Rattus norvegicus: one gene and its partners. The protein of the gene in region 2 interacts with the protein of the main gene of each other region in a pairwise test. Links are inferred from orthologs where the notes say so. Each region holds a gene or a part of one and is shown on either strand. Other genes may lie near its edges. The genes, in order: Cdx4, Prkab2, Dao, Bend5, Banp, Pias2 and Pygm.

What was found.
Region 1: the proteins of Prkab2 (region 2) and Cdx4 interact in binary tests that used the Homo sapiens proteins (3 or more experiments, as listed by UniProt). The link is inferred for Rattus norvegicus from reciprocal best matches to the Homo sapiens genes PRKAB2 and CDX4.
Region 3: the proteins of Prkab2 (region 2) and Dao interact in binary tests that used the Homo sapiens proteins (3 or more experiments, as listed by UniProt). The link is inferred for Rattus norvegicus from reciprocal best matches to the Homo sapiens genes PRKAB2 and DAO.
Region 4: the proteins of Prkab2 (region 2) and Bend5 interact in binary tests that used the Homo sapiens proteins (3 or more experiments, as listed by UniProt). The link is inferred for Rattus norvegicus from reciprocal best matches to the Homo sapiens genes PRKAB2 and BEND5.
Region 5: the proteins of Prkab2 (region 2) and Banp interact in binary tests that used the Homo sapiens proteins (3 or more experiments, as listed by UniProt). The link is inferred for Rattus norvegicus from reciprocal best matches to the Homo sapiens genes PRKAB2 and BANP.
Region 6: the proteins of Prkab2 (region 2) and Pias2 interact in binary tests that used the Homo sapiens proteins (3 or more experiments, as listed by UniProt). The link is inferred for Rattus norvegicus from reciprocal best matches to the Homo sapiens genes PRKAB2 and PIAS2.
Region 7: the proteins of Prkab2 (region 2) and Pygm interact in binary tests that used the Homo sapiens proteins (3 or more experiments, as listed by UniProt). The link is inferred for Rattus norvegicus from reciprocal best matches to the Homo sapiens genes PRKAB2 and PYGM.

The regions. Positions count from the first base shown.
Region 1 is NC_086039.1:72,391,257-72,395,745, reverse strand, and holds the start of Cdx4 (homeobox protein CDX-4), read right to left. Parts: upstream 3,094-4,489; 5' UTR 2,924-3,093; coding exon 2,410-2,923; intron 1-2,409.
Region 2 is NC_086020.1:187,944,703-187,949,186, forward strand, and holds the start of Prkab2 (5'-AMP-activated protein kinase subunit beta-2), read left to right. Parts: upstream 1-1,306; 5' UTR 1,307-1,462; exon of another isoform or gene 1,463-1,552; intron 1,553-1,680; 5' UTR 1,681-1,705; coding exon 1,706-1,858; intron 1,859-4,484. UniProt on the Homo sapiens protein: Non-catalytic subunit of AMP-activated protein kinase (AMPK), an energy sensor protein kinase that plays a key role in regulating cellular energy metabolism.
Region 3 is NC_086030.1:48,270,111-48,274,668, forward strand, and holds the start of Dao (D-amino-acid oxidase), read right to left. Parts: upstream 3,191-4,558; 5' UTR 3,104-3,190; intron 2,316-3,103; exon of another isoform or gene 2,252-2,315; intron 1-2,251. UniProt on the Homo sapiens protein: Catalyzes the oxidative deamination of D-amino acids with broad substrate specificity. Required to catabolize D-amino acids synthesized endogenously, of gastrointestinal bacterial origin or obtained from the diet, and to use these as nutrients.
Region 4 is NC_086023.1:131,549,929-131,553,865, reverse strand, and holds part of Bend5 (BEN domain-containing protein 5), read right to left. Parts: intron 1,448-3,937; coding exon 1,299-1,447; intron 1-1,298. UniProt on the Homo sapiens protein: Acts as a transcriptional repressor.
Region 5 is NC_086037.1:66,950,735-66,954,671, forward strand, and holds part of Banp (protein BANP), read left to right. Parts: intron 1-1,035; coding exon 1,036-1,152; intron 1,153-2,612; coding exon 2,613-2,788; intron 2,789-3,937. UniProt on the Homo sapiens protein: Controls V(D)J recombination during T-cell development by repressing T-cell receptor (TCR) beta enhancer function. Binds to scaffold/matrix attachment region beta (S/MARbeta), an ATC-rich DNA sequence located upstream of the TCR beta enhancer.
Region 6 is NC_086036.1:72,956,952-72,960,888, reverse strand, and holds part of Pias2 (E3 SUMO-protein ligase PIAS2), read right to left. Parts: intron 1,845-3,937; coding exon 1,684-1,844; intron 1,357-1,683; coding exon 1,223-1,356; intron 1-1,222. UniProt on the Homo sapiens protein: Functions as an E3-type small ubiquitin-like modifier (SUMO) ligase, stabilizing the interaction between UBE2I and the substrate, and as a SUMO-tethering factor.
Region 7 is NC_086019.1:213,132,358-213,135,453, forward strand, and holds the end of Pygm (glycogen phosphorylase, muscle form), read left to right. Parts: intron 1-1,384; coding exon 1,385-1,519; intron 1,520-1,673; coding exon 1,674-1,740; intron 1,741-1,850; coding exon 1,851-2,000; 3' UTR 2,001-2,265; downstream 2,266-3,096. UniProt on the Homo sapiens protein: Allosteric enzyme that catalyzes the rate-limiting step in glycogen catabolism, the phosphorolytic cleavage of glycogen to produce glucose-1-phosphate, and plays a central role in maintaining cellular and organismal glucose homeostasis.

The DNA of each region.
Region 1 (4,489 bases), on a different chromosome or scaffold from region 2:
AAGGCAGTGATTTATTCTACATGTCAATCTCCTTGCTTTAGAAATCATAGCTGTAAGGAGTGCAACACACACATACACACACACTCACACATATCACACATACACACACATTTTAACTTAAGTCTGTTTCAATTATCTTCATTAATGGAAAAAAAAAAGCTCTCATGGGATTGCCTTAATTCAGGGAAGAGCTACGTCCAGTCTGTTGTCCATAGATTTTTTTCTCTCTCAGCCCTAAACCATAGGTTGATGTGCAATGATGGTACAAGGTGAACAGAAAGCTTAGGAAGATCTAACTTGTCTATTCACTTAACAGACGTTTAACACCTGCTCCCTTGCTAAGCATATAAAGGGGTACACTTTGATTCGGAGTGTCCCGGGGTGATGGCATTTATTTTTGTGAAGTTTATGGCCCTGTATTATGAAAGATACTCAGTGAGACTAGAATCTCCAGAACTTATGCAAAGCATCACTTATGTGTGTAGCGCGGGGTGCTCTCATGCACAACCATCATCTCAAATTGTCAACAAATAGCAACTTGAGCCTACAAGAACATGCAAAAGGGTGGTGTTAACTTACGAGGAATTCAAATGAAACAAATGTCAATGTTAGTAAAACTTTGTCTATAGGACAAGTTGCCAAGAGTCCAAGGAGCTGTAACATCATTCTCAGTTTTAAACTTCTCCTAAGCACTGAAGAGATGAAGGCACACAGACTATGGGGATCCTTCTCAACTTCTCTTGGCATCAGAATTACCCAAAGAGGCTCTGAGATCTCCCCCCCCCTCTCTCTCTCTTTCCTCTTAAAGCAAAACAGAGAAAGCTGTCATGTTTCCCTCAGCAACACAAAGACAATTCATCACAACCGTATTTTCTTACTGTGTTCTTTCCCTCACAGTTTTCCATTTTGAAAACCAAGCTAGCGACATCCCCTCCCCACAGTATTTCAAAGAAAAATCCTAGACAGTAGCTCTTTGATGTCCTTTTAAAAATGTGTATTTTGCTTATTCTTAGGTTTTGGTGAATGGATGTTAGTTTTACCCTGAAGATTAGATGTAAGAACAGCTCTGGGGAGGAATGCCCTACCCTCGCCTCATTTGTCTTTAAAGTTACATGACTCACCCATATCCTCTTTTTAATATAAGTTCTTAAGGATTACTTTTAACTTGGGATCTGTACCCTAGTTAGACCTGGAACATCCTCCTTGTGGCTGAAAAGTTTCCTAACAGTAGGAAATGGTACCCCCTAACCCTTTCACCTTTGCTTCTTGGAGGAGCGAGAAGGGACAACAAAGGGTTGTGAAGAGTATATATCATCATGGACAAATACTATTGAAATATCATTGCCTCTCCAGAGGGAAATGTCACTAATTTTCTCTAATGACAGGGATCAAGTATTGGAATAAGAAAATGCTAGGAGAACAACCACAGCTGAAAACGAACATGTCACCGTCTCCTAGTCCAAGATTATAGTGGAGTCCTCATTTCCTCGAAGCTCTCCGCACACCCCCCCAGCGGTTGCCTGCCCACCAGGGCTTGCTGGTCAGTGCCATTAGACCTTAAACGGGATCCTTATGGCTTCTTGTGTGTTGTCGCTGTCGCAGACTTGCATTCTGCTTCTGCATCTGTGGCCACCTGCTGAATTAGCGATGAGGGCTTTAGGCACTTGGAGGGGGGTGTGAATAATACGGTGGGTGTAAGGATAGTGTCCTATGAAATGACAGCTCAGTGCTGTAACGCTTCCTTCAGTGGGTAGGACATTGGAAAAAGGCGTTAGGCTTTATTCAAGACAGTGCTAATTTGGTCGACGGAAGCTGTAGTTTCCTTGGGCGTCTTGTAAAGAGGCCGTTTTGCCGTGGAAGCCTTCATAGGCTGGGGCGTCGTTTGCCAGCTAAGCACCTATTAAGTTGAGCATCACCAGTTTTCAGCGAGGCTGCATAATAGGATAGGGGACGATTTGGACATAAAACCGGCAAGCACCGGGACAACCTTAACTGTCTTCTCACCCCGTTCATCACACGTGTTTCTGTTTTTCCCTCCGGACAACGACAGGATTGGATCCCGATCCTTGTGGTTCATCGGGAACACTGTTCATGCCCTCACTCCCTTGACTTATCTGGGAAGGGTAAAAACCAAACCAAACCGAACCGAACCAAACCTAATCAACCAAACAACCAAATAACCAAATAAAAAAGCCCACCTCAACAAACCCCCAGGAAAGGTTTAGTTCCAAGCGCTGCTTTTAACCAGCTTTGAACCTAGGCACAAAGGAGGAAATTACTTATCCCGCCAGCCAGTTGCCCCGTGGGCTGCCTAGCTGAACTCTTCTGCGGGACGCAGAGTGAAGAGTAAGAGGGCAGGCGGACCAAGAGTAGAGAAGAGAAGAGACAGTGGAACGATGGATTACTCACCGGTCACCTGCACAGTCTTGCGCATCCACGCGTAGGGGCTGTGGCGGCTCCTGCTGGGAGAAGTGGCGCCGCCAGAGGTGCCTGAGTCGATGGAAACCAGTGACTCGCTGGCCGCGTCTGGCAGGCTACCGCCGTTGCTTGCACCGCCTGCACCGCCAGTGGGGCCCAGAGTGCTGTAGTCTGGGGAGCCGAAAGCTGGGGAGCTCGAGGTCATGTCGTTCATGGGCACTGTGCCCATTGTGCTGGACGGCCCAGGGTATGTACTCCAGTCTTCCCGGGGCGGACTGTAGGGTGAGCTCCAGGCTCCCAGCGAAGGCCCGTGAGGATCCATGTTGGACATATGTGGATACCCCATGTAGTGTGGGTAAACTGGGGCTGCAGTAAAGTTGGAGGCAGGCAGAGGACTACCACTGCCCCCAGAGGTGCCCACTCCGGCTGTGCTGCCTCCTCCAGGGTTCCTGAGAGTGCCTGGGTACATTCCCGCTTCTTTTTCTAAAAGGCAGCTTCCATACATGGTGGCTTGGATAGAAGAAGTTGCCCCCTAAGCCATCCTGAGGACCCTGTAAACTTAGCGCCAACCCGAGTTTGAGATGCAAGAGGCTATCAATGAATGGGTCAGCACTCGCTGTGCTGCCAGCTCCTCTGGGCGGCTCGGACTACTCCAACCTTCCTATCCTACCCTAAATTTCCAGGTGACTGGTAGTGGGCCATAGGAGGGCTACGAAAGCCTGGGATGACGTCAAGGGGCTTCAAGCTTTTACATAGCATTTGCATTCAAATGAAGGGCCATTTAACGTCTATGGGAACTTGTTCACTCCAAGCACCTTCTCCCCTAGCTCCCAGCCCCTCTGTGCCGCTTCCGGGATTCTTCTGCTTTCTTAGCAGCACTTTTGCGCTTTTGGAGGCGGTTGTTCCTCAAGAAATTTCTCATCGGCTTCTTCAAAATGAGACTGAGATGCGCAGTCTTGCTTCCTTTCACTGAGGTCTTCCTTTCACGATTTTCCAGAGCCCAGCTTGCTGTCCTGGTTTCTCTCTCTCTCTCTGCTCATACTCTCCTGGTATGGATTTTCCAGTTGGCACTGGCCCATCATGCCACTGTAAAGGATTTTCCCTTCTCCCACACACTCCTCAAGGAGAGGGCTTTGTTTCTATAGGCAGATTTGTTTCACAAATGTATATTCAGTGTCCACAGTGTGTCAGGAATTGTAGGCACCGGGGAAACAGCACTGACATGTATTCCTAGTTTCTTAAAGTTATATTCCAGTTAGATGGGAGGCTGAGTTAATTGGATGCCTAACAACTATGCATACATTAGAGAATAAGAAGCACATAGGCCATGAAAAGGGGAGAGGAAGCAAGTGGATAGTGCATTCTCTGAACTTCATATTAATGTATTAATTTACATCTCTCTGCTTCAAAGTCAATGCCCTGAAGGACAGGAGGAACTCTTGTAGTTTGAAATCCATGCAGCTACGGCAGACTTGCCATTCCATTCCAAAAGTATGGTCTAGGTAAGCACTCTACCACCTATATCCGGGACACCCGTTTAAAGATAGAGGCTCCAGCTGAATCTACATTACAAAGCAGGCTTCACAAGATGAAGCATGGAACCAGCTTGACTGCTGAACACATTCACTCATTCATTGAATACATTATTGATAACATTCTTGATCAGGTCTTTATTCAAACAAGTTGTCACCAATTATTTGACCTTTCTGACATACTACAGATTTTAACACTTTGTGCAGTCTGCTCAGATATGCCATTCCCTCTGGTAGACTTTTTTTCCTGGTTGTTTATTGTTTTCAATTACTAGGTTATTGGTAGTTGCAGTTTTTCCTGCAAAGACTTCTTAACACCAGCAGCCTTCTTTCCTTTCCACCTTTCTTGGCCTGGGGCCCCTGCTCTAAGCTGCGTTCTCTGTATTCTTTCTCTGCAGACCCTTCCTTACACGCCTTCTCTTGCTTATCTATGTACCACCATTTCTGTATTCCTTCTCTGCACCCCTCTCTGTACTGCCTTTCCCTGCACCCCCTCTCTGTACCCCATTCTTTGCACCCTTTTGCATCCTCTTCTTCTC
Region 2 (4,484 bases):
GAGGTCTAGCCATTCTATGGGCGTCCTATACACAAAGAAAAGAAATGGAGAAATTCTACATAACATTCTACCTATCTACCGATTAGGGAGGCTAAGAAATGCATCTCGGTGGAGACAGACAATATCCTAAGGTTAGAGTCAATGCTTTAGTAAGCAGGAAGGGAGTCAATGTTAAGGTAGACCTCCAACTCTCTTTGCTATCTCACTGTTCCTTTTTATTATTTAGTTTTCAAAAATTTTAATCTGTATTTGAGTGTTTTGCCTGCATGTTTGTATGTGCACGGGAAGGTGTTGGATCCCCTGGAACAGATGGTTGTGAGCCACCTTGTGGGTGCTGGGAACCAGACCCGTGTCCTGTAAAAGCAACGTGTGCTCTTAACCACGGCGGCATCTCACTAGGCTCCCCTATAACCTTCTTAACTCTAATGGCTTTATGGTCTGCCTCATCTCATCAATCTACACCCTTGATCGGATCTAAGATACTGCCAATGCTAATGACTTCAGGAGCACTGAAACCTCAGTGGCAAACACGATACTCTCAGAGGATACCTCTCTCACTGTCTCAGCTCACCCAGCTTCTCCTGTATCCAGAGTCCTTTGACCCCACTGGGCCCTCCACCAGCCTATTTTGTCTTCACTTCTAGCCGACTGGTTTCAAATCAATACTCCCTCAATATTTTCCCAGACTACCCTGTGCTCTCAATTCCCCTTTTGACTCCTTGACTAAACTTCACTCTTTCGCTGTATGCAAGCATCCCCGCAGCTAATCACAGTAAGAGAACAAACACCACTTTGATGAGCTGGGTACCACATAGAAGTAAGCCTTATGCCAGTACCTGCCATCACGTGTCTCGTCAATTCTCTGTCCCATTCTTTATTTCATACCTCCTGGAACAACTAAAAAGAGGTTGCTTTGTAGAGGTCTACGCGGAGTATGAAAACCACTCGAATGTGGATCCGCTATGCACCGCTGTCAAGTTGTTTGATAAAGTACAGGTTCTAATTCTGCACCTAGGGCACGGAGAGGCCTCGGTTTCGGCTTTTCTAATAAGCGCGTGTGCCACGGATAGACAAAATGCTTAGGAAGGCAAGGCGCGCCCAGCTATCACAACCTAGGCGGGTCGTTCCCAGCCCCAACCCCGACCCCACCCTCCGCTCCGCCCCAAGCCGGAGCTGCGCACGCACCCACCACAGAGGTGGCCTAAGTGCTGGTGGCTAGAGAGGCAGGCGACCGAGGCTGAGGAGGGGGCGGGGCTGGAGCGCAGGGGGTGGAACAAGAGGCCTTGTGGGCGGGGCCAGAGGCAGAGGCGGTACCGCGTCGCCGGCCTTGTAGCCATTTTAGGAGGAAACCCGGTTCGCTGGCTTGGGGCGCGGCTTCAATTTCAATAACTTTATTGGTCTCCTTGTACGCCGAACAGCCGGCGTGCGTGTAGCCACGCGAGCCCGGAGCGCATCGCCAGAGGTGAGCGGCGTGGGGGTGTGCGGGACCCGGGCTGTGGGGCAGCGAGGGCTCCTGGAGCCGGTTCTCCGAGCTTAGGCGTCCGTGAAGCGGGTAAGGGAGGGGACCCCGGGCGCGGTCTCCTGCGGCGGGGATTCCCTTCCCGGGCGCAGGGGCGGGGCCGGGGCGCTCCTGACGCGGCCGCGGGGGTGTTCCCCGCCTGGTGTCATTCCCCGCGGCAGGTTGCCCCGGACTCGAGCTGCAGCCATGGGAAACACCACCAGTGAGCGGGTGTCCGGGGAGCGCCACGGTGCCAAGGCTGCTCGAGCTGAGGGTGGCGGCCATGGCCCCGGCAAGGAGCACAAGATCATGGTGGGAAGCACCGACGACCCCAGCGTCTTCAGCCTGCCGGACTCCAAGGTGAGGTAGCGGGGCTGCGGGCTGCTCCGCCCTTCTTGGTTCTTCCTCATTCTCAAGGGTTATGGGCTTTTAAATTAGAAGGCTAGTGCGCGGACAGAAATGTTGGGTGCTAATTCCTGGTAGGTACTACCTCAAATTAGGATAGAGGCGCGGAGTTGTTTTCCTGCTGCTTTGAGTAATCTGTGGGCCAGCCTTTTAGGACGGGTACCAAAGACCCATCCCCTGCCCGCCCCATCCTTGGTTGTACGTGCAGGTTGCCCTGTTCTAGAGCTTGCAGGAAGAATAGGTAGTGAGCGCGGGTGGAAACTTCGAAGGGTGCATTGTCTGAGCTCTTGATACGAGCTCAGTTTCTCAATTGCCCTCAAGATAGCTAGATGGTTTCTTCTCCCTGAAAATGTCTCAGTGTAGATCTCGTTCTTGCTCTCTCGTAAGTGCTCTGCATCCCTCCTCCATCCTCGTTCACCGTTGTGTGGCTGAGCAGCCATCACTTGATTATTTGAATACTTTCCCCTAGTCTTGGGAATCAGTACAGGACATCATTTGGTTAATGGCTCAGTTTTTTTAAAAAAGGAAAAAACAGTGCCGTTTTAAAATGTAGCTGAGCGTTTTGCACACCTTGCTGCACTTCCCTGGAGAGCAACTTACTTCCCTTCACTCCTCAGAAGTACTTCAAAATGTTCCCGAGGCTCAAAACCACCCTCTCATGCCCTGAAGACTTTTGCTCTCAATTCCACAGACTTTCAGCCAGAGGCCACTTTTGGTCACCCAAAAGAAGAGCCAGACGGAGCTGACAGCAGTGTGATTACTACTCTAATGTTCCTAATTACTTTTAGAAATGTCAGCGTTAAATACATTTAATTTCTCCTGGTCGGCTCTCTGAAGTGAAAAAGAAAAGCCTTCGGGTGGTTTTTGGGTGGGGTGGTGGGGTGTGTTTGACATTTCTCACCCCAGTGAACTGAGACTTAAGATAGTAAACAAGAGTTTTATTTACCGCTTTGATGGCACATGAATGTTGGATTATATACCATATTTTCTTCGATCCTGATTTAGAACGCCATTTCTTGGGGTTCCCTCTTCCCTGTTTCCTCTCCTCTAGGATTCCTCATTATCTGGGCCCTGCACTCAGCCTAGATTTTCTTCTCCGAAGCTTGTCCAGGGTGACAGACAGGCCGTGTATTTTTGCTCGTTCCTACATTGATGACTCAGGATTTGGGTACAGTCAAACTGTGACTGCAGTAATTGGTGTCCTGAATAAGAGCCAGGCTGCTCTGTGTGCGTTTAGGCCTGTTCTGGATCATTCTTTCCCTCACATCTTGCTGTGAGATGAGAAAAGTAGTTCAAACAATTACCCATGTCTTACCCAGACAGAAAACTTCATAGCCCATGTACTCTCCCTCTCCACACTAAATTTCCTTAAACATTTGCAGGCCGTAATTTGAATTGCTGGTTTGCTGCTGTTCTGATGGTTTCGCTGAGGGTTTAACTCCAGTAAACAGTTTTTCTGCTAGTCAGCTGCAGTCACTCCTACCACAGAAATGTCATGTCATAAGTGGAAGGGCTTTGCTCCAAAGCCAGGCATATTAATAGTTTGGAGTTTTCAAATCCTAAACTGAAAATCCTTAAGTCATAAAAGTAATTGATAAGAATAGTAGGGTTGGGGGCATCTTTGTTTCAAAGGTCAGGCTTATTAATAGTCTTACTCAGTGCTCCTCAGTCCTATTTGTATGACCGGATCCCCCAAGAATGCTTTAAAAACCTTATGGGAAATCTGACACACTTATAAAATGAACAGTGAAATGAACTACGTATATGTCACCCGTTTTAAATGGTGCTAAAAGGTCATTAAATGACTGTGCCTCTGTGATCCAAGCCATTCCCCTACCAACCACTCTGAAACAGATTTCAAACAGGTCAACAAGTAGTATTTCTAACATTTTAGGACGTACCTCAAAAGGTGACTGTTTAAAGCTGACATGATGGTGCCTCACAGCTGTGATCTCAGCTGTTTCAGAGCGGGAGGAGGATCACTGCCAGTCTGGACCACAGTGAGAACTTGACCCCCTAGAGAAAAATAAGAAATGCTTCTCCTTGTTTATTGTAACGTGATAAGAGTGCTGTTACCTGAAGGCTTTTTAAAAAAATATATTCACAAAATCCTTTGCGGGACTCAGACTTGAGGGTTGTTTTGAGGCTTATGGAAACATTCCCAATGCAACTGTCAGCCCCAGTGCATTGCTCTGAGATTACAGAGGCCAAAGTTTTGTCTCAATCCAGTCCCTTGAATAATGTAAAAGTCCCTTCCTTTTCCTTTTCCATTTGCTTTGGTTTGTAGTTGTACTGTAGTCTTAAGGACTATCGAGACACAGAATGGAAGGTAAACTTTTTGTATTTTGGAAAAAGCAGGGGAAAGCCCAAATAAACGAGCTAGACTTTCCTTACTCTAACCCATGCTTGACCTGGTACCATGCAGTCTTATTTACCAGCCAGTGAAGCCATTCCATAGGAGGGGTGAGTAAACCTTTTCTGTAAAAGGCCAACTAATACACATAATTTAGGGTCATAATCTCCCAGGTCTGCATGGTGGCAGTGAGCTGTAGATGACAGGTACACACGTGCATGGCTGCTT
Region 3 (4,558 bases), on a different chromosome or scaffold from region 2:
ACAGTACTAGCTAGTACAAGTACTCAGTATACAGCACACAGGATTACCCAGCACAAGTACTCAGTACACATGCTTAGTACTCAGTACAGAATACACACAGTCCATAGTAAACAATCTTAGAAGCTCACAGTGTGCTGGATCAGCAGGTCAGACACGCACAGCTTAGCCTACCTCTGACATACTGAGTGTGTGAGCCTGGCCGAGTCATTGGACTCCTCTGGGTAAGAGAGAGCAGCTCCCAGTCTGCCCAGGGTTAGGGTGCTCCCTCCTGTGATGCACATTTTCAGTGTTTGAGCCAAGAGAGTTCAGGGAAGCCAGGGGAGCTGCTCTGTGTGAATGGAGCCTGTCCTCTGTCTGCACACTTGCAGGCTGGCTAACCCCCTTGTCTCCCTACCTCAGCACACTCTGTGAGAGAATGCCTCTTGCCCATTGTTCTCCTCGCCCCAGCCTGGGACAGACAGTGGATGCACACACCAAGAGGGGACATCTTAGGAAACTCTTGGGTGCTTGGGAACTCAAACACAACTGCAGTTTACAGGTGAGGCGATGAGTCACCCAGACAGCGGCTTCAACTCGAGGTCAAGATAGGGGCTGGAGAGAGAACCTATACTGATGCCTGCACCACTGAGAGACCCAGGAAAGGACAGGTGAGGGGCAGGGGAGAGGGCTGATGGGGTGTCAGGGGTCTAGATAGGGGAAGACATCTGTAATCTGAGAAGTCAGGACGCTGAGGCAAGAAGAAGCTACAAGTTCCAGGTCAGACTGGGCTTCATAGCAATTACATGTCTCAAAAAGATAAGGGTTGAAGTGGAGGGAGAGGGGGAGGACCCATGAGGCAGGTCTGGTGGTGCACACTTGTGTTCCTAGCACTGGAAAGGCTGAGTCAGGAGGATTGCATGTTCAAGACCAGAGGTTACATAGTAACTTCCTGCCTTAAGAGGGAAAAAAAAAAGGCAAAGAAGAAACTTTGAACCAAAGCATGGCCTTGGGAGGACAAACCCAGACTGATCGGAAGTCTGGCTCTGATAATGGCTTCCAAGGGATGGTGAGAGGCGCGTGCCTCACAGGTCCCAGTTTTCCCCACTATGCAGAACTCTAAGGAGGAACTAGACATCCCTGTGTGGATAGAAAACCAAGGAAAGGGGAGAGACTATCCCTGAGTCACGACCGTGAGGAAAGGATCATTTCCCAGGGGTGGTGGGAAAGAATCGTCTCTGTGAGGGGAGGGCTGCAGCTGTGTGGGTTCCAGCCCGTGTGTGTGTGTGTGTGTGCGTGTGCGCGCGCGCTCGCATGTGTGTGTGCGCGTGTGTGCATGTGTGCATGTGTCTGTGTGTGTGCCTGTATGTGTGACTGTCTCTGTGGGCATGCCTACGTGTATATCTATATATCTGTATGTGTGTTTGTGTGTGTCCCTCTGTGTATATGGGTCTTTGTGTGTGTGTGTGTGTGTGTGTGTGTGTGTCTGTGTGTCTCTGTGTGAACTGTCAACACATAACCTATCGAGATCTTTGTAACAACCCTAGAGGAGATGTACCCATTTTCAGTGGAGGTAACTGAGGCTGAGACCCAAGACAACCTGTTTGAGAAGAGCAGAGCCCAGGCTAACCGGACTATGATGCCCTGTGTTCACATGAGTCACATGATTTGAAAAACCGAGGATGAGGCAGCGGAAGACAAATGGCCTATGTTTGGGAGCCCTGCAGTTCCAAAGTCTAAAACCCACCATTTGTGGGAGTGCCAGTGGGAACAGGATTGTAGAGGAAAGACTCTGAACCCTGCATTTGACCCTGACAAGAGTAGCTATTGTTAAAGTACGGTACGAAGGCATGTATGTGGTCCTCATCAGAAGCAGGAGCTAGACCACAGAAGCCTCAGTCTAGCCTCAGGTAAGATCATGCATACATACACCAATGAACGTCTGAGCCAGTCTGTGCATAGCTCTGTTATTAAGTCAACCATTTCCTCGTGGTTGCTGACAGTTTTACGTTAGAGGTGCAATTCTGCTTCATGGCCACTCATTTTAATCAACCGTGCTTGGAGTGTGTGTCCTGGAAGATGAGCTGGCGAAGGTATGGCATTCATCAGAGAGGGAAACAGACAGACAGACAGACAGACAGACAGACAGACAGACAGACAGATTATAAAGCCTATTGGACTCTACCATCACTAGGACACAAAATGCAATGGAGACAACACAACACGTCCTCTAGGAGATGGTCTCTATATCATCCTATGGGACGCCAGGTCTCACCCGATTCAGCCCGAATGTATCTCAGGGCAGCAGTCAGATGGCACTGGCTTCTCTCTTTGTCTCTCTGGAAAGCAACCGGAGGAGGCAGCTCATACCTCTGACTGTCACGTACACTTAATGGAGAACACGAAGGACTAGCGAAGCCAAACAGCCGTAACGAGGAGGCACGGAGACGAGCACAAGCCGGTCCTGCCAGGACCATGTGGCTGAACCTTCTCGTGCATTCCCAGGTTATCATTTAATTGGGGCAGCAGTTGTGCTGATAATCAAGCCCCCCTCCCCAGCACAGCGATAAAGACCATTTAGGGAGTGTTTATTAGCTGGGCGCCAGGCGTTTTCTATCCCTCTGTCTTCTGAGCCTCAAATTCACCCCGTGAGTCAAGGTCCCCACATTCAGAGACTTCAAGATGACTCAGCTGCTAGAGGTGCCTGCCACCGAGCCTGACCAGCTGAATTCAATTCCTGAGACCCCCGTGGTGGGAAGGGTGAATGCAGTCCCAAAAGCTGCCCTTTGACCTCTACCTGAAGAGCGTGAGTGTGAATTCCTGCCCCCATCCCCAACCCCATACCAAACCGATCAATAGCATAATGAAAAAAACTTTGTTCAAAAATGCCGTGTTCCAGAGGGGAAAACTGAGGCTTGGAGAGGTAAGGTTCTGAACCTGCCATCCCCTTCTGACTACACTGTACCCCTAGGGGTACAGGGGTACAGTGTCATCTCTCAGGGGGACATTTCCCCAAGTCTGTCCTTTTTTGGGGTCACCAATCTCAGTCGCTGATGTTGAGCCCGGATTGTTGGCATGGAGAGGACACTGGGGAAGACACTATGTTGTTTCTGTCCCCTTTACTTACCGCTGGTGCCAAGTGTCTAGAGAAAAATGGCCTGGGGGTGCAGGAACCTGTCTCCAGCAGGATTGCTCCTGATTCTGGGCTGCGTTGACTTCAGCCCTCTGCCCACCAGCTAGGACTGGAACGCCAGGTCAAAGTCTTCGGCAGTGGAGGGGGCACAGGGCAAGGGGTGGGGCTGGGCACTGCACTTCTCCAGGAGCAGGACTCAGTCTGGCCACGGGACCTTCTGTTTCCTCCCTCTAGTGAGCTGCCTGACTTTTCTGGCTGATCCCAAGCCCCTGCGAAGAGGCCTGGGGGGTGGGGGAAGGAGGGGTTTCTAAGGCCCAAGCCAGCTGGAGATGAGCCTCCCCCCCCATTGCTGCACCCCAGCAGAGGGGAGGACCATTCCCTGGGCCACTGTGGGCCAAAGGCAGAGGACAGGCCCTTCCCGGCCAGCCAGCTAGCTCACTGCTGTTCTGGGACGCTAGACAGATGAGGCTGAGAAGGGACGCCTGCCTGGGCTGGGAGGATGTGTAGTCTTTGCTTCAGTATCCCAGAGACGAAAGCAGCAGGACTCCAGGTCCTTCTTCTGCCAAGGCTAGACCTCTAACTGGGACACGGTGAGACCAAAACACATCTGCTGAACAGAGGAGAATACTGTGATGGTGTAGTCTTCTACCTCAGCAACATCCACCACAATGAAGGAAGCACGTGTAACAGGGGAGAGAGCCCAGGGCCACAAGCACACTAGGCAGGCACTGTGACTCTGAGGGACAGCCATAGCCTTTTCTATTATTATTATTATTATTATTATTATTATTATTATTATTATTATTAATACACCATACAGCTTTCTCCCTGAATGTATGCCTGCAGGCCAGAAGAGGGCGCCAGATCTCATCACAGATGTCTGTGAGCCACCATGTGGTGCTGGGAATTAAACTCAGGACCTCTGGAAGAGCAGTCAGTGCTCTTAACTGCTGAGCCATCTCTCCAGCCCTCAAAATTATTTTTAATCTGCATTTTTCCCCTTTAGAGTTTCTACCATTAATTGAATACATAAAAGCCTCCCTGCAGCGTCCTTCTGCTCGCCATGTTATAGATTACACAGGTTTTTCTTAAAAACTTATTGTTGGGGGCTGGGGATTTAGCTCAGTGGTAGAGCACTTACCTAGGAAGCGCAAGGCCCTGGGTTCGGTCCCCAGCTCTGAAAAAAAGAACCAAAAAAAAAAAAAACTTATTGTTTTTTGATATGAACCCTACACAGATGGGTTATTGTATGAAAATTTCAGTGCAAGTCGTTGTGGGATACCCCCTTTACCAGTTATTGGCCCAGGAGTCTACCTACCATTGCTCTTGACTTACCCACCAGAACTAAACGGTAAGACCGATGGCTAAGACACAACACACTTTGGAGACAGGACACAGAGCAGCGAGGTTGAAATTTACCTAAAACTCGCTCCCTGGAGGGTCGTGCTC
Region 4 (3,937 bases), on a different chromosome or scaffold from region 2:
ACTTTTGTAGCAGAACTCAGAAGCTGCCTGGCAGCCTTCAAAGCAAGAGAGAAACAGATTTCTCTTGGAAACTACTTAAGAAAAATTCTACAATCACCCTACAATGTGGTCCTGACTAAAAGGAATTCAAGAGACCCAAAACGCCTCTGCGGTTCTAGCTTCAATCTGGGAGGTTTACCAAACTTAGACACTTCTACTCCAAAACGGCCTGTGGAAAGCATCCATCCAGTCAGCTCCTTATAGATAAGGACTCAGAGAACCAGGAAGGCCAAGAATCGGCCTGACCTCACACAGGAAGTACAGAAGTAGAGCTGTGCTAGAGAATTCCACAGGCTTCCAACCTCCACTCCTCTGCAAAGCTTACGGGGAAAGCCTGATGCATGAGCAAAGACAAGGCCTATACCCTGCCTCATCAAGTCCTGGCCCTGCAGAGAAGGAGGCACTCAGTGAGCAATGCAGAGTACAGTAGCACATCCAAGACAGCCCTAGAGATAAACACGTTTCTTTTCCTCACCTAGACAATACTTTCTTAGGTTCAGGCCAGAGAATTGTGGGGATGTATCTAAACAAAGGAAGTCGGAGAATCTGTCCTTTTCATTAGGGAGACCACCCAAAGCACGGGGTACTCAGGTACCAAGGAGAGGCGAGTCTGAAATGTGTGTGGTGGTGGCAGAGAGTCTAACACTAAAGCTGGATGCTTCCTGGACACAGGGCTCTGACAGACTTCTCCTTACCACCAGGGCTTATGTGTTCATTCATGATCTGTTTTCAGGAGTCATTAGAGAAACTGTGAGGAGTGATGTGTATCCCTGGAGTTGTAGGCCAGTGAGTTGGAGACAAGGAGTATGGCTCATTTACCCCTCTGTCCCCAGGACAGAGCTGAGAGCTGGGAACGTCTACTTTGTAAATGGTGAATGGGCATACACTGAGTTGCTATCTCTAAATGAGTAATTCACTGAGTTAGCCTTGTGCACTCTAGGCATCTGATTTCATAGGAAGTGAGGGAGAATATCAAACTATCAAAGGAATTATTTTTTTAAAAAAGTCTTTCTTATAAATACGTTATTTTAAAATGCCAGGTTAGTTTCAGTTATTTTGACTCAACATTTTTTTAAAAAGGGGAACAAGGAGAAGTCCCAGGAAACCTATGTTACTATGCAGTAAATTCCACAGTCACCAGGGACTAGGCTGGGAGGATGGCTAGCCATGTGGGGTTTCACAAAGCCCCCACTGTGCCCTCCACCTTTTCCCTGACTAGCAAGCACCTGGAGGAATGGATATTGAGCTGAAAACACTACCTTGCCATTGTCTAGGATATACTTGTCCATGACAGGCGCAGGAGCGGGGTAATAGGACGACGTGTTTGCTTCCTCACTGAAAGTGCTCCGTAACTCCGGCTCGGGCTCGAGACATTCTGACTTTACTTTTTCCAAGTCAATGGCGGGACCTAGGCAGTTAAGAAAAGAGATCTGTCTAGAACTCCAAGGAAAATAAAAGGCAAATATTCTTAACTATGCATCTATCAGCATATAGTGGCACTAGAGAAAAAGCTAGCTTACTTTTGTTCTTTATGCTACACTTAAACCCAGACTCCAATGCACTGTGAGGCAAGAATTTTACTAGGCCTTAGTAATTAAGGATGATTAAGGGACACCTTCTAGGGTGTCAGTGTCTATGCAAAATGGCAGGAGACTCAGCTTCCTGCATAGGAACTAGGGTCAGTTCAGACTGCTGGAGAAAGGATAGCAGTTAACTAGAATATGCAAATTGTGGGCTTGCCAACAAACTCATCTCTGGACCCTGTGGAGAGAGGGTCATGTGGACTGAGGGAAATGAGGAAAGCTATTGAGGGCGGGGGCAGGGGCGGGGGTGGCTAGGATCCCCCTTCCTGGGACCTGGGGTCTAAGCAAGGGCATTCCAACCAAGAAATTAAAATACAACACAGGGCAAGCTGCTGATTGCCAGATACAGCGATCACTCACTTTTTATTTTAATGCAATCAACACAAATTACGTGAGATTTAAATAGTGAAAGGAGGCTGGGGAAACGGTTGCTGTTTTGTTTCTAGGGTGCCTTTTTCTCTACTAGCTTTTAAAATGACAGATTTTCTTTTTCTTTTTTAATCATCTATTGTGTCTTGATTACCAAGGAACAGAGAAAATGAGTAAATAAGGCCAAATGACTCGATTAACTTGTCTTCGAGAGAACAACTTCAAAAGTCTATAGTTTCACATCCTGGCCTTGACTAAAATCAAAGGCGCTGTGTGCTGTGCGTTTAGCTTAAGCATGGATGAAATTGGGGTGAGACTTCTTATCCTGGCTGAATGGACAACTGGGATCCACGCTCTTTATCTACTGAATCCTTGCGACTCTGTGCTCAGCTGCCGTAACCTAGATTTTGGCTGATGGCGGGAATGCCATCAAATGTGAGTTTGTTGGTACAAGTCCTTATGACGGGGCTTTCCAGAATGAGAGTATCATCTCTGAGCTGCTGGTAGCTAGCAGTTGCTGACTGCAAGAGAGACCCTCTGTATTCTCCAAAGATTTAAGCATGAGCTTGGCACAAAGCTGACCACAGAATGGATGGTAGTCAGAAAGGCAGGTGAAATTACATACATTGTACATCATTATACAGACTGGGCCCCATGCCTGGCTCCGCTCTGTTATTGTTGTGTGACTTCGAGTGTGTGAGCTGCAGATGGAGAAGATGGTTGAGTGGAGCACAGACAGCAGCATCCTTATCTTTCTGACAGCATCTCCTATGTGTGCCCTATGCAAGGTCCAGGCCAAGCTCTTTATCTTTCTCCTTGTGCATAAAACCTGGTAGGTGTTCTCTAAACCTTTGCTGAAGAAGAAAGGATCATGACAAAGACTGCAGCCAGAGTCTCCAGAACAAGCAGATGCTGAAGTGTCCCGTCTGCAGGTGTGAATTCTCAACACGTGAATAAGTAAATCATCTGGTCTTTCCTCAGGTGGGGAAAATGTACTCTGCCTTCCCGTAAAGATGGGTTCAGGCACGTGCTTTCTCGTCCTACTCTGATGTTCAGTGACAGAAAAGAGAAATGGCTGAGAAGGTCATTTATCCACCGCTCATAGATCATCTTTACAAAATTTTTGAAACCTCATTTTCCTTCTAAGAGAAAAGACTGTTAAACAAAGGCTTATGGCCCTAATCTCAGCACTCATGCTTGGGAGGGTCAGGTATTCAAAGTTAGCCTCTGGATAGCAAGTTGTAGATCAGCCTGAACCACATAAGACCTTGTCTCAAACAAGAACTACAATGGCTCGATGGCCTCCAAAGTAACTTCCACATGACCATGACCTTGTTCCTCCTTGCTTACCATCCCCACCACAGTCCATGAAGGCCCAGAACAACCAGCCTCTCTCTATATCTAGAATTCAGATTGTTTCCTTGTCTGTCCTGTTGTCCTAGGTCTCTGTCTTTCTGTCTGTCTCTCTGGTTCCCAGCCAGGTAGCTTCCTTCTGATGCCTTGTTTCTAGGTAGTAGTCTCTGTATTATAACCTGCAAGCTGTGTGGCACCCAGCCACCCCTACCTGTTTTCAATATTACACTGATGCTCTTCAGGGGCAGTCTCACTCATGCTGTACCCGGACAGCCTGGGGTACCTGGCACATGGCAAGCTCTTAATAAATTCTCTATGACATCAAAGGGCTCAGATGGCTGGAAGGGGATAAGTCTCTGATAAGTGTGGGCAAAGATTCTGAAGTCCCTGATGCTAAGTAGGGTGTTCAGGGAAGAAGTGTGGGTAGAAAGGAATGTCTGTAACCCCTTGTACAGTCCAAGAAGTAGAAATCAGGACTAGATTAACTTTAGAAGCAGCTAGTTAGAATGGAAAGTTCGGGTGGTGGTGGTGGTGGTATGATTATAAATAAATGACTCGGTATCCACATTGGCAGACACTAGAACAGGAGTGTC
Region 5 (3,937 bases), on a different chromosome or scaffold from region 2:
TCTCCAGGTGACATAACCGGCTGCGTCCAGTGGCAGCTGTTTGTAGCCCTGGCTCCTCACAGCAGTCCATACTTTAGACAACTCTGTGCCAAGAAGTGCTCTGACTTGACCCGAGGGTTGCAGTGAAGGAGTCCCTTGAGAGCTGCTGCTGGTCCTTACTCAGTCTCACCCTAATGCTGCCCCCAGGGTGTTTCTGAGCCTGGCGGTTCTTGGGCCATGGTCTGTTCTCTCCTAGAATTTCTCCTCAAACCCAGGCCCCAAGACCTTTTGTTTCGGTTCTGTGCTCCTCAGAGGGCTGCGGGTGGTGTGTGAGCATGTTTCCCGCTGCTGCCCGTGGGTTGGTTGGCTGCCCAACTCTAGAGGTCAGATGTGGAGTGACGTGAGGAAGGCAGCTGCGAGACCAACCTGCCGGATCAGAGTTTTGGAGGGATGCGTTGGAAAGAGGCTGGGGAGCTGGTTCAGTGGGTAAGCTCATGCTTCTGCAAGCTTGAAGATGTGAGTTTAAGTCCTTAACATGCATGGAAAAATCCAGGCCATATCTTGTAGGCTCAGCACTGGGGACTTGGGACAGGGAGATCCCAGGCTGACTTAGCAGCCTAGCTGAGTGGACTAGGTTTCTATTCAGTGGTAGACCCTGTTTGAAAAGAGTAAGGCAGAGAGCAGTGGAAGAAAACTCCCAGTACCTGCTCTGCACTCCGCACACAGCTCACATGTATGCGGTGCACATAGGTGCCCTGCGCACACACATCACACATACACACACACACACGGGGAAATGAAGAGGAACCTGTTTTCATGAAACCTGTTGCTGAGATGGCTCGCGGATGCACAGCCCACCCTGCCCACATTTGTGTCAACCAAGAATACCAACCAGCAGGAAGCTGGAGAGCCTTGTCTCCAGTTTAGTTGTTCTGCACTGGACCCCATTCTCTGGTGTTGGCCCAGGAGCTGACCGTGTTGAATGATTCATGTGCTCTGACAATGACTGTTGTTGTTTTAAGGTCTTCTTTTTCTTGTGATTCTTTTGTTTCATAGCGTCGTCCCCCAGACTACAGTAATACTCAACAATGATCGGCAGAACGCCATTGTAGCCAAGATGGAAGACCCATTGAGCAACAGGGCACCGGATTCCCTGGAAAATATCATTAGCAAGTCAGTAGCCATCACCACCCACCTTCCCTGCCACTGTCCTGAGGCTAAGTGAGCGTTCCTGAGCCAGGGTCAGTCTGAGCACATGTCCATGTCTGCAGTCATAGGGCCCATTCTGTTAGCAACCACCATAGCTTTTAGGTCAGGAAGGGCCAACTTGGTGCTTAGCAATGGTGGGGTGAGACAGTGCAAGGGTGGGCAGCCGTGAGGACCGCTGGGCTGGATCTGGTATGTGAAGAGGCTAGATATGGCCTGTGGTCCGCTGAGCACTCCCATCTGTCTGTCCTGCAGTTGAGCCTCTTCTGAGTCTGGTAAATGACACACTTGTGTTGACGTTGTGACTTTTTCCTCATCCCTGTCTTTTGAGATGTGTTGAATGGACCTTCCGTCAGTCAGAAATGAAAGGGCACAGCAGCCATGCCCTGCGGGGCCTCTGCCCCTGGCTCTGGCTCTGTGCCTCAGGAAAGCTTGGTCACCTTTTGATTACCAGCAGTGTTCTCACAGATTCCTGCCTTCCTTTTTTTCTCTGTGGGGTGTGACTCCTTCCAGCTTTGTCTGGCTTCTTGTCCTGGCCCAGGTCTCTAGGAAACTGGAGGCCTGGGGTTGCTGTGACTGTGCTGAGTGGGGTGCTGGAGGCCTGCCACTCTGTTGGGGAGAGGACGCGCCTCCTGGCCCACTCTGAGGTCGTGGGTGTGGAGTGTCGAGGAGCCAGTTCACTGTGGGTAGCTCAGAGGGGTCAAGTTCAGGAAGGACCTCCTGCCTCTGGGGATGACCAGAGTTTTAAGGCCCCTTTGACTTTGCTGATGGGAACTTGGGCTTTGTTTCCTCTGTGGTGTGTAGGAGGCCATGGTCCAAAACGTTGACAGAATCATTCAGAAAACAAATCAATCTTGGGTCTTTTTTGAGCACTTTCTGCTGCTAGCTGTTTGGCTGCTGCTTTACTTCAGGGCCCTGCACCAAGAATGGCTCCCAGAGGACTCCTGACATTCTTGATGGCCTTGGAAGTTGCTTCTAGGGTTTTGTCTGTGGGAGTCAGAGGGAGTGTGGAGGTGTTTTGGAGGCCGAGTCATCTTGGGTGTCTGACAGCATGGATGATGGATGGATGGGGACTCTGATACACGGTGACCATTGTGCATGTGAGGATGGCCTCTAAGGTCTGAAAGCCAGATTCTAGGCTGAGTCTCAGTGAGTTATGGTTTTATTTCTTTTGTGCTGTTCATTTTTACGCAGTTGCTTTATATTCTTCGTCTTCTTGGTCTCAGGCTGTTGGTGTGCTATGTTGCTGCTCATCTCCATGGAGGGTGTGTGTGGGGACATACCGCATGTTGGGGACCCACCTTGTGCATTGGTCCATGCTCAGCTAGACAATGGGATAAGTCTACATAACAGTGGGAGTCAGGGCTATCTCAGTGTACCACTCATGTCCTCTCACAGCCTGGGCTGCTGTGTTTGTTTCCCGCCAGCGCTGTTCCTGGGCGTCGGCAGAATACCATCGTGGTGAAGGTGCCTGGTCAGGACGACAGTCACAATGAAGATGGAGAGAGTGGATCAGAGGCCAGTGACTCCGTGTCTAACTGCGGCCAGCCAGGAAGTCAGAACATTGGAAGCAACGTCACACTTATCACCCTGAACTCTGAAGGTGCGTTCGCCATAGTTGCACCTTTGTGCTCTTCTTTTGGAAGGGGCTGTGCTTGCTGTTGATAAGAAATGACACAGTGACAAAAAAGTTTAAGCAGCTGAAGTCCTACCGTGACTGCCAGCACCTGTGCCTCTCTCCTGTGACCATGCCTTTTTCGTGTTACTGACATGTCTGCTGTGGAGATGCCTTCTTGGATGCTCTGCTTCCTGAGGAGGAAGAGCTTCCATAAGCACGAACCAGTCACCTCTGCTCACAGTCCCTGGCATTCCTCTGTTGGTTGCCAGGCTTAGGGAGTACAGTCTCCTTGGGCTGGGCTGAGATCTGCAAGTAGCCAGGGAGAGCAAGTGTGGGGTCTGCCTTCCCTAGACTCCTCCCATGATTTCTTGGGGGCCCCCATGGGGTAGGGGCAGGCTCTTCCCTGAAAAGTCTGAAGTACCTCCTTGCTTCTAACTGACAGTAATGTTGAGAGAAAGGAAGGAAGGAACTCTGACAGACTAAGCTCTGTGTGCAAATCCTACCCATCGACTTTGTTTACCTGTGAGCCTTGGGAGGCTTTTGTTTCCTTATCTAAATGATTGGTTTTTCCTATAAGCACAAAATTTTGCTCTTAGGTATGTGCTGTATCTGAAATACTAGAAATAATGTCTGACTAAATTGCAGTGTTGGGGTCGAAGCTCGCTACCACACACTTGATGGTACACGTCACAGCGCACATTCTAGCGCTTGCTAAGGCTTAGGTTGTTGTTCCCAAAGCTCGTGTGCTCAGAGCGTGACCACAGCCCTGCCTCTGGGGTGGCCTAGGAGAGGAGTGGGCCACAGAGGTGGGTCCTAAAGAGGAGTGGGTGGGATCTAGCCCCCGTGTGGCCCTTCCTTTTGTGTCTTAGCTCCCATGGAGTAGGGAGCAGCCTCCGCTGCCACAGTCTTCCTCCATGATGGTGGCCACAGGACCAGTGACCATGGACTGAATCCTCTGAAAGCTCTTCTCATTAGAAACTGTTTTGTCACAGTGAGAGGCAGGTTTAGTTTATCTACAAGTTTATCCCCTGTCACCTTTGTCTGAATCTAGAATTTTTTTTATTATTTTTTTTTAATCACCCCTTCTAAGAAACCTCAGCCCAGTTAGTCACTCCCCACCCTCTCAGCCAGCCC
Region 6 (3,937 bases), on a different chromosome or scaffold from region 2:
TGTGATATTGCTCTCTATAATCTATCAAAAATGAATGCTATTTCATTGGGGAAAAATCATCAAACATTAATCAATAAAACCATACCTGCCCACACTTTTTACACCAATGTGGGCAACCCTGGCAATGTGACCCCTAAGAGTTCTGTGACGATCACAAAAGAATAAATAACATTCTGGAAAGTCTTTATTTACCCTTCTTACTCAGAAAATCTGTTATTGCTTTTTTGAAATTCAACAGAGCCGGAAGAAAGTCAAATGAAAGGAGTCCAGAGGTTGCATGTGCACATGGATTTCAACTTATCAGACTCCTTTAGCATGTCCCTAAGAGTAGATAAGAGCGAGGAGCCAAAAGCAAATACACACACTGGGAAACTAAAGCTACAGAATCCCTCCACCAACGAATGGAAGAATCCACTCAGTAACAGCTAATTCATGACCAGTCTCCACACGTATTAATAAATGATATACAGTCTCTCCAACCAAACTGGGCTGTATAAAGATATACAAAACAATTACTACTCTTTCCGTTTCTCAAGTGTGTTTACATAGTACACATACATGCATATATGTCTGCACAGATGTGGGCATGCTTGTGAAGGACAGGTTAGTAGCAAGCATCTTTCTCAACTGCTCACCACTTAAAGGTCTCGCTGAACCGACTTCATTACTTAAGTCTAGTTTAGTGGTTCTCAACCTTCTTACTGCTGGGACACTTTTAATTCAATTCTTCATGTTATGGTAACCCGCAAACATAAAATTACTTTTGTTGCTATTTCCTAACTAAAATTGTACTATGATTTGTACTATATGTATCTGTGTTTCCCAATGATCTTAGCCAACCACTGTGAAAAGGTCATTCCACACTCAAGGGGGTCAGCACCCACCGGTAGAGAACAGTGTGCCCCTGGGATCCCTGTCTGCCTCTAGAGCACCAGGATGACACAAAGGCCACCCAGGGCCCCAGCCTTTACGGGTAACTCAGGATCTGAGCTCCAGGCTATCTTCATGCTATCTATATTTACTTACTTACTCGTTTTGTACATGAAACACCATTTAAAAGTTTGAAGGATGGTATAGATTTGCACATTCCTTAAGAAAACAAGGAAGGAGAGATGGCCTAAAGTTAGCAAACTAAATTCTGAATATGCTCCTTGTGGTTAAGTTAAGAGTTTGTACTTCATAATGTGCACTTCTCTGAGTGCTCCTGACATTCAGTACATACTTTCTACTTTTGTACAGGGCTGGCTGGTTACTTTCATAGCTTCTTTCTTAGGTCTCATGGGGCACCAGGAACCATCTTCCTGGAATTTGATCTCATCCACATCAGAACAGTCATTGAGAATTTCCATAAAAAGCCTGTAAAGTACATAAATGTCAAAGATGAAACAAGAAAGCAGTATACACCCAAGAAAAGGCAACGGTGTTAGACGTAAGAACATCGGAACCTCAATGATTAAATCTTTTTTTTTTTTTTTTGGGTGCTTTTTTTTTTTCGGAGCTGGGGACCGAACCCAGGGCCTTATATATATATATAAAACTAGACTTAAACTCAGATCTACCTGCCTCTGTCTCCTGCGTGATGACTTAAAAACTGTGGCCCACCTCATATCAGCAGGTGGTCTGTTAGTTTTCCTCCACTTATTCTATTTCTTTGTCTAACTACTTGCCCGGGGTTACACTTACCCATCTAGTATCAGACTCTCATAGGCAGCCTTTTTGTCACAAACAGGACAAATCCAGGTGGGCTTCTTCTCATTCATCTGAAGATACAGGGCAGCATCAAAGCACTGCAGATGTGTACACGTCACTGCGCGGCACGGGATTGTCAGCCTCATTTTTCCTAACTGCAGAACAGAGAATACAACAGGAAATGAGTTCAAATAGGACAAGATAGCCTACAGGAGAAAAGAGATGCTCATTAGAGTCTTAACAAGTCAAACAAGATGTTCAAAATAAAAAGCTTCAGCCTAAATTTACTCTCATGAAGACTGTTTATCTTTTTATTTATGGGTGGTTTCAAGTTTTGAAACATCGTTTCACTTCAGTAATGTCTAAGTACAAAGGCAGATACACACACACACACACACACACACACGCACACACACACACGCACATTTAAAAAGTAAATGTTTTAAAAACTACTATGATACAAAGACATCATGGTTTATCATTCGTGCACTGATAACAGGTAATTACATTACTTCCAATCTTGCACCATTACAATGTTACTAAATAAGTACCTCAAAATGAAATTTTGGAGAAGTCGAAGGGAAATATTTATGGTCTTTGAACACTGATAAACTCCCTTAACCAGAGAAGTCTATTGATCTGTAATTTGTGTACTTAATGTGCTAATGTGCTATATTCCAACTCCACCATTATCCCTGCGGTTAATGAATGTTTGCTTTTTTCCAATCTGGTTGGTGAGAAATATTTCAAGGCAGTTCTTAAATACATTTCTTTCATTTTCAGAGAAACTTGAAGCTCTGTTCTTCTACTTTATAGTTAATTTGTGTCTCTACGAACTCTCTACACATACCCTTAATCATTTTTCAGTCACTAAACTTATTTATAAGAGTTCTTTATATTAAAAAAAGAGCCTTGTATGGGATATAAACAAAATATTCATGAAAACGTTTTATTATATAATCAAATCTGTCAAATTCTAGTATGTTTTTATATAGTTATATATATATTGTTATGCATAATTATTAAAGAAGAGACCTACTGACACCCATACCCACATTAGACCAGGTCATTTCTTTTCATAATTCTTTTTTTTTAAGATTTATTTATTATATATAAATATATATATTATATATAAGTAGCTGTCTTCAGACACACCAGAAGAGGGCATCAGATTTCATTAGAGATGGTTGTGAGCCACCATGTGGTTGCTGGGATTTGAACTCAGGACCTCTGGAAAAGCAGTCAGTGCTCTTAACCACTGAGCCATTTCTCCAGCCCTCTTTTCATAGTTCTTAAAACCTCCCTGTGTATGTCACTTATAGGAAATATTGCTATTTATATCCACAATGGCAGTATCAGTGTCTAATCCTGGGACCCACCACCATCACCACCAATGCTAGCTAGCTCAATACCAGCTTATAGCCTGTCCTCAGTGTTCATGGACTAAAAAGGGGGCAAAGATAAAACAAGGGATGCAGAAAGGGTTCTTAAAAGTTAGTGATCAGGGTTGGGGATTTAGCTCAGCGGTAGAGCGCTTGCCTAGCAAGCGCAAGGCCCTGGGTTCGGTCCCCAGCTCCGAAAAAAAGAAGAAGAAAAAAAGTTAGTGGCCATTTACAAAATTTAACTCCAAGTCAACAGAAAATGCAATGTGTATCTTTAAGCATTTCTGTATTTTTCCTTCATTGAAGGATCCTATATTCTAAGATTTAAACCATACTGACATAGTAATATTCAATTCAGGAATTTTACATCAGGATAAATGAGTTTGCTCCTTTACACTGTAAGTGTGTGGAAACAAGCCATTAAAATAAGTTGAATAACTTACACTAACTCACTCAACAAAATGTCTACAGAAAGTAAAATAAGAAAAAGTATAACTACTAATAATAATATTAAGATACTTGAGGGGTGGGTTGGGGATTTAGCGCAAGGCCCTGGGTTCGGTCCCCAGCTACGGAAAAAAAAAAAAAAAAAGATACTTGAGGGTAAGCAAACAACATGTGGTGGAGAGGTTGAAACCAACCAACCCTGTTGTGGTGGTGGTACACGTGTGAACAGTGCTGGGACTCAGGGGGCAGGCACATCCCTAGGCTCACGGACCAGACAGACTAGCCTAAGAGGCAAGCTCCAAGCACACGCACAAAATTAATGATGTTTTGGGGGGGAAAAAAGCTGCGTAAAGATAACTAAATAAAGGCCACACAGTGTACTTATATATAATAAATAAATAAAATAAAATAGCTAAACA
Region 7 (3,096 bases), on a different chromosome or scaffold from region 2:
TGACCTCTGAGCCATCTCTCCAGCCCAAAGGTATGGTTTTTAAGAAGAGGTGAGGGTGAGTTTGGGATATATACTAGAAGGTAAATAGTTGTGGACCAAAAAGTTCTTGGGCCAGGCATATGGCTCAGGAGATAAGAGTGCTTGTGGTACAAGTCTGATGACCTGAACTCACGCAGAAGCATAGCACAAGTGTGTGAAATCCCAACAAGCTGGGAAAGGGAGGCACAGATGTGAGGCGGAGACTCAGAGGCTGGCAGGCTGGCTGACCTGTCTTACACAGTATCAGAGACCCTGTCTCAGAAACAAGAAAGAAAGGTAGGGAAGAGCCTCTGAAACTTGTCCTTCCTGGCGAGGCATGCTCACGCCCCCACACAGAGACAAAAATGTGAGAGTTCCTAAGTCTCTGGCACAGAGTTTCAAATGCTTCTGGAAGGTTGGTACCAGTTTACACTTCCACCAACAGCTTCAGAGAGCTGGCTGGCATTTACCGCTGAAAGAGCTTTTTCCTAGAAATTTCAGACTTTGAATGGGGCATGGTGGTGCCCACCTTTAACTCTGGAGGCAGAGGCAGGCGAAACTCTGTGAGTCTGAAGCCATCCTGATCTACATGGAGAGTTCTAGGCCAGACAGGGCAATGTGGTAAGACCTTGCCTCAGAAAAAAAAGAAGGAAAGGAAAACAGACAAATAAAAGAAACCTCAGATTTTGTTTTCCTGGGCCCTAAGGTGCATTGAATGAGATCTGGGATGTTCAAGACCAGAGTCCAATCTGGTCAATCTGACTGCAGAGGACAGGGTAGTGTGTGAGTGTGGAGACTGCACAGGCAAGGAAAGTCACAAAGCAGGGCAGTGCAGGGGTTGGATGGATGCTACCTTGAAAGTAAAGCGGGCACCAGCCTGTAATGAGCTCGTTCTCATTGTGGGAGTTTAGAGGCCACACCCGAGGATTCGCCTGTGAGGTGGGTTTGGGACAGTGGAAAAAGCTGCATGGAGGGTTTTGTTTTGTTTTGTGGTGGAGCTGGGGATGGAAGCCAGGGCCCTTCGCATACCAGGCAGGCACTCCGCCTGACTTCTAAGCACTTGGAAGATGGGTCCTTTCTTCGGAGTCTTGAGAACCAAGATTTTGTGTTTCCTTTGTTTTGAAATTAGGGGTGTATGTTTGTGTGTATGTATGTGCACTGAGCCATCTCCCCAGCCCTGGATTCGTCTTTTGTCTTCTCTGAGCCTGAGTGTTTCTAACTACGAAGTGGGTGGAGAGAAGCTAACGTGGAGAGAAGCTAACGTGGATTGGAGCTGGGGAGGCCCTGTGCCTCAGGTCTTCCCAGCTTTTCTCCGGGAGGCTGGGGACCCCTTTGCAGGGAGCTGACCACAGACATGCTCTGGCAGGTACAATGCCCAGGAATACTACGACCGGATTCCTGAGCTTCGGCAGATCATCGAACAGTTAAGCAGTGGCTTCTTCTCCCCTAAACAGCCTGACCTGTTCAAGGACATCGTCAACATGCTCATGCACCATGACCGGTGAGCTGGCTGACTAGGCTGCATGGAGGCTCGTGGATGAGCAGGGCTTGGGTGGATGGGGAAGCTGGCTGGGGTTGTGGCTTCATTCACTCCTGCTGCGCCAAGGACTTGGCCTTTGACCTCACAGAGCTCTGGTCTCTCCTTTCTCCTCCAGGTTTAAAGTCTTTGCAGATTATGAGGAATACATTAAATGCCAGGACAAAGTCAGTGAGTTGTACAAGGTGAGGGGTCATCGGCCGGGAGCTGGCAGGGTTTGCCCCTGGCTGGGAATGAGGGAGAGGGGGCCAGCCTGCTGGTAGAACGAACCTAGAGATTCCCTTGCTGTCTACAGAACCCAAGAGAGTGGACACGGATGGTGATCAGGAACATAGCCACCTCTGGCAAGTTTTCCAGTGACCGTACCATTGCCCAGTATGCCCGGGAGATCTGGGGTGTTGAACCTTCTCGTCAGCGCCTGCCAGCCCCAGATGAGAAGATCTGAGCTTCCACACCAGACCCCATACCTGCCTTTGAGTCTGTTTGCAATTCCCGGAATCAGGCCCACTCCAGGGGTTGGGCCCCTGGAATTACATCTCTACCCTCCCCCTTTTGGAAGCCTCTTTTACCAGTCTCTAGGTCCTGATGCCAGTGTGACTAAAGACCCTGCCCTCTTCTTTTCCCTCAACTCCCTACCCCCTTTATTTATGTATGGGGTCTAACCAAGTGCACCCACTCCCCAATAAATCGACTCTCCATGACCTTCCTTACTCTTCTCTCTGTTGCAAAATATTTTTAGCTCTTGGAGAGCTTTACAGCTGCTGCGCAATCATCTCCTTACCGCCCCCCCCCCTCCACACACCGCAGCAGGTGCATCCTCTGTGGGGAGAAAGGGGAGGCCCATAGCTGGTGTCTGGGACTTAGTCCCTTTTCCGGTGTCGCCCTCCACGCCTCTCTTCCCAGCGCTCTGTCCATACTAGGTCAGCGGCCAGCTTAGTTGGTCGGGGGCGGGGCGTCCGTCTGGGTGGAGCCCACCGGGTCCGGGAGTCGGTCGGTACTTGGGCCAGATCCTTCCTGACTACGGAGCTTCCACGCTATCTGGGGAGGGTCCAGAGGAGGCTTGGCGCCTTCTTGGCTCCTCCCCTAGCACCGCCCCACTGCGGCGTTTTAGGGTCTCTTAGCAGGTGGCTAAAATAAATTCAAAACCAGGCGAGTGTTAGGGCTTAGGGCGTTCGCAGACCGTTCAGGCGAGAACAGTGGTATATTCCCGGTTCCGGAGAAACTGAGGTCTATAAGGTTCCTCTTCTGAGCCTCACATAACCAGGATTGAAGTGCAGAGGACTGCTTCCCTCGCCCAAGACAAGGAGGGGCAATCTTCGGAAGGGGTTTTGGGGCCCTGGGTTTCACAGTGAGTCTAAACGGCCGGAAACTCTTACCTATCCCTAGGCTAGCTTGTGAGGGACCCCAACTGCTTGTGGCTGCCCCTCCCAAGTTCCTCCTCGCCTGGGCCCATGCTTCCAAGGCTTCCAGTTCTGAAATTGCAAAGCACCTACCCAATTGTAGATGCCCCTTTCTCTCCTGCCCAGTGGGGTGTCCCTCGC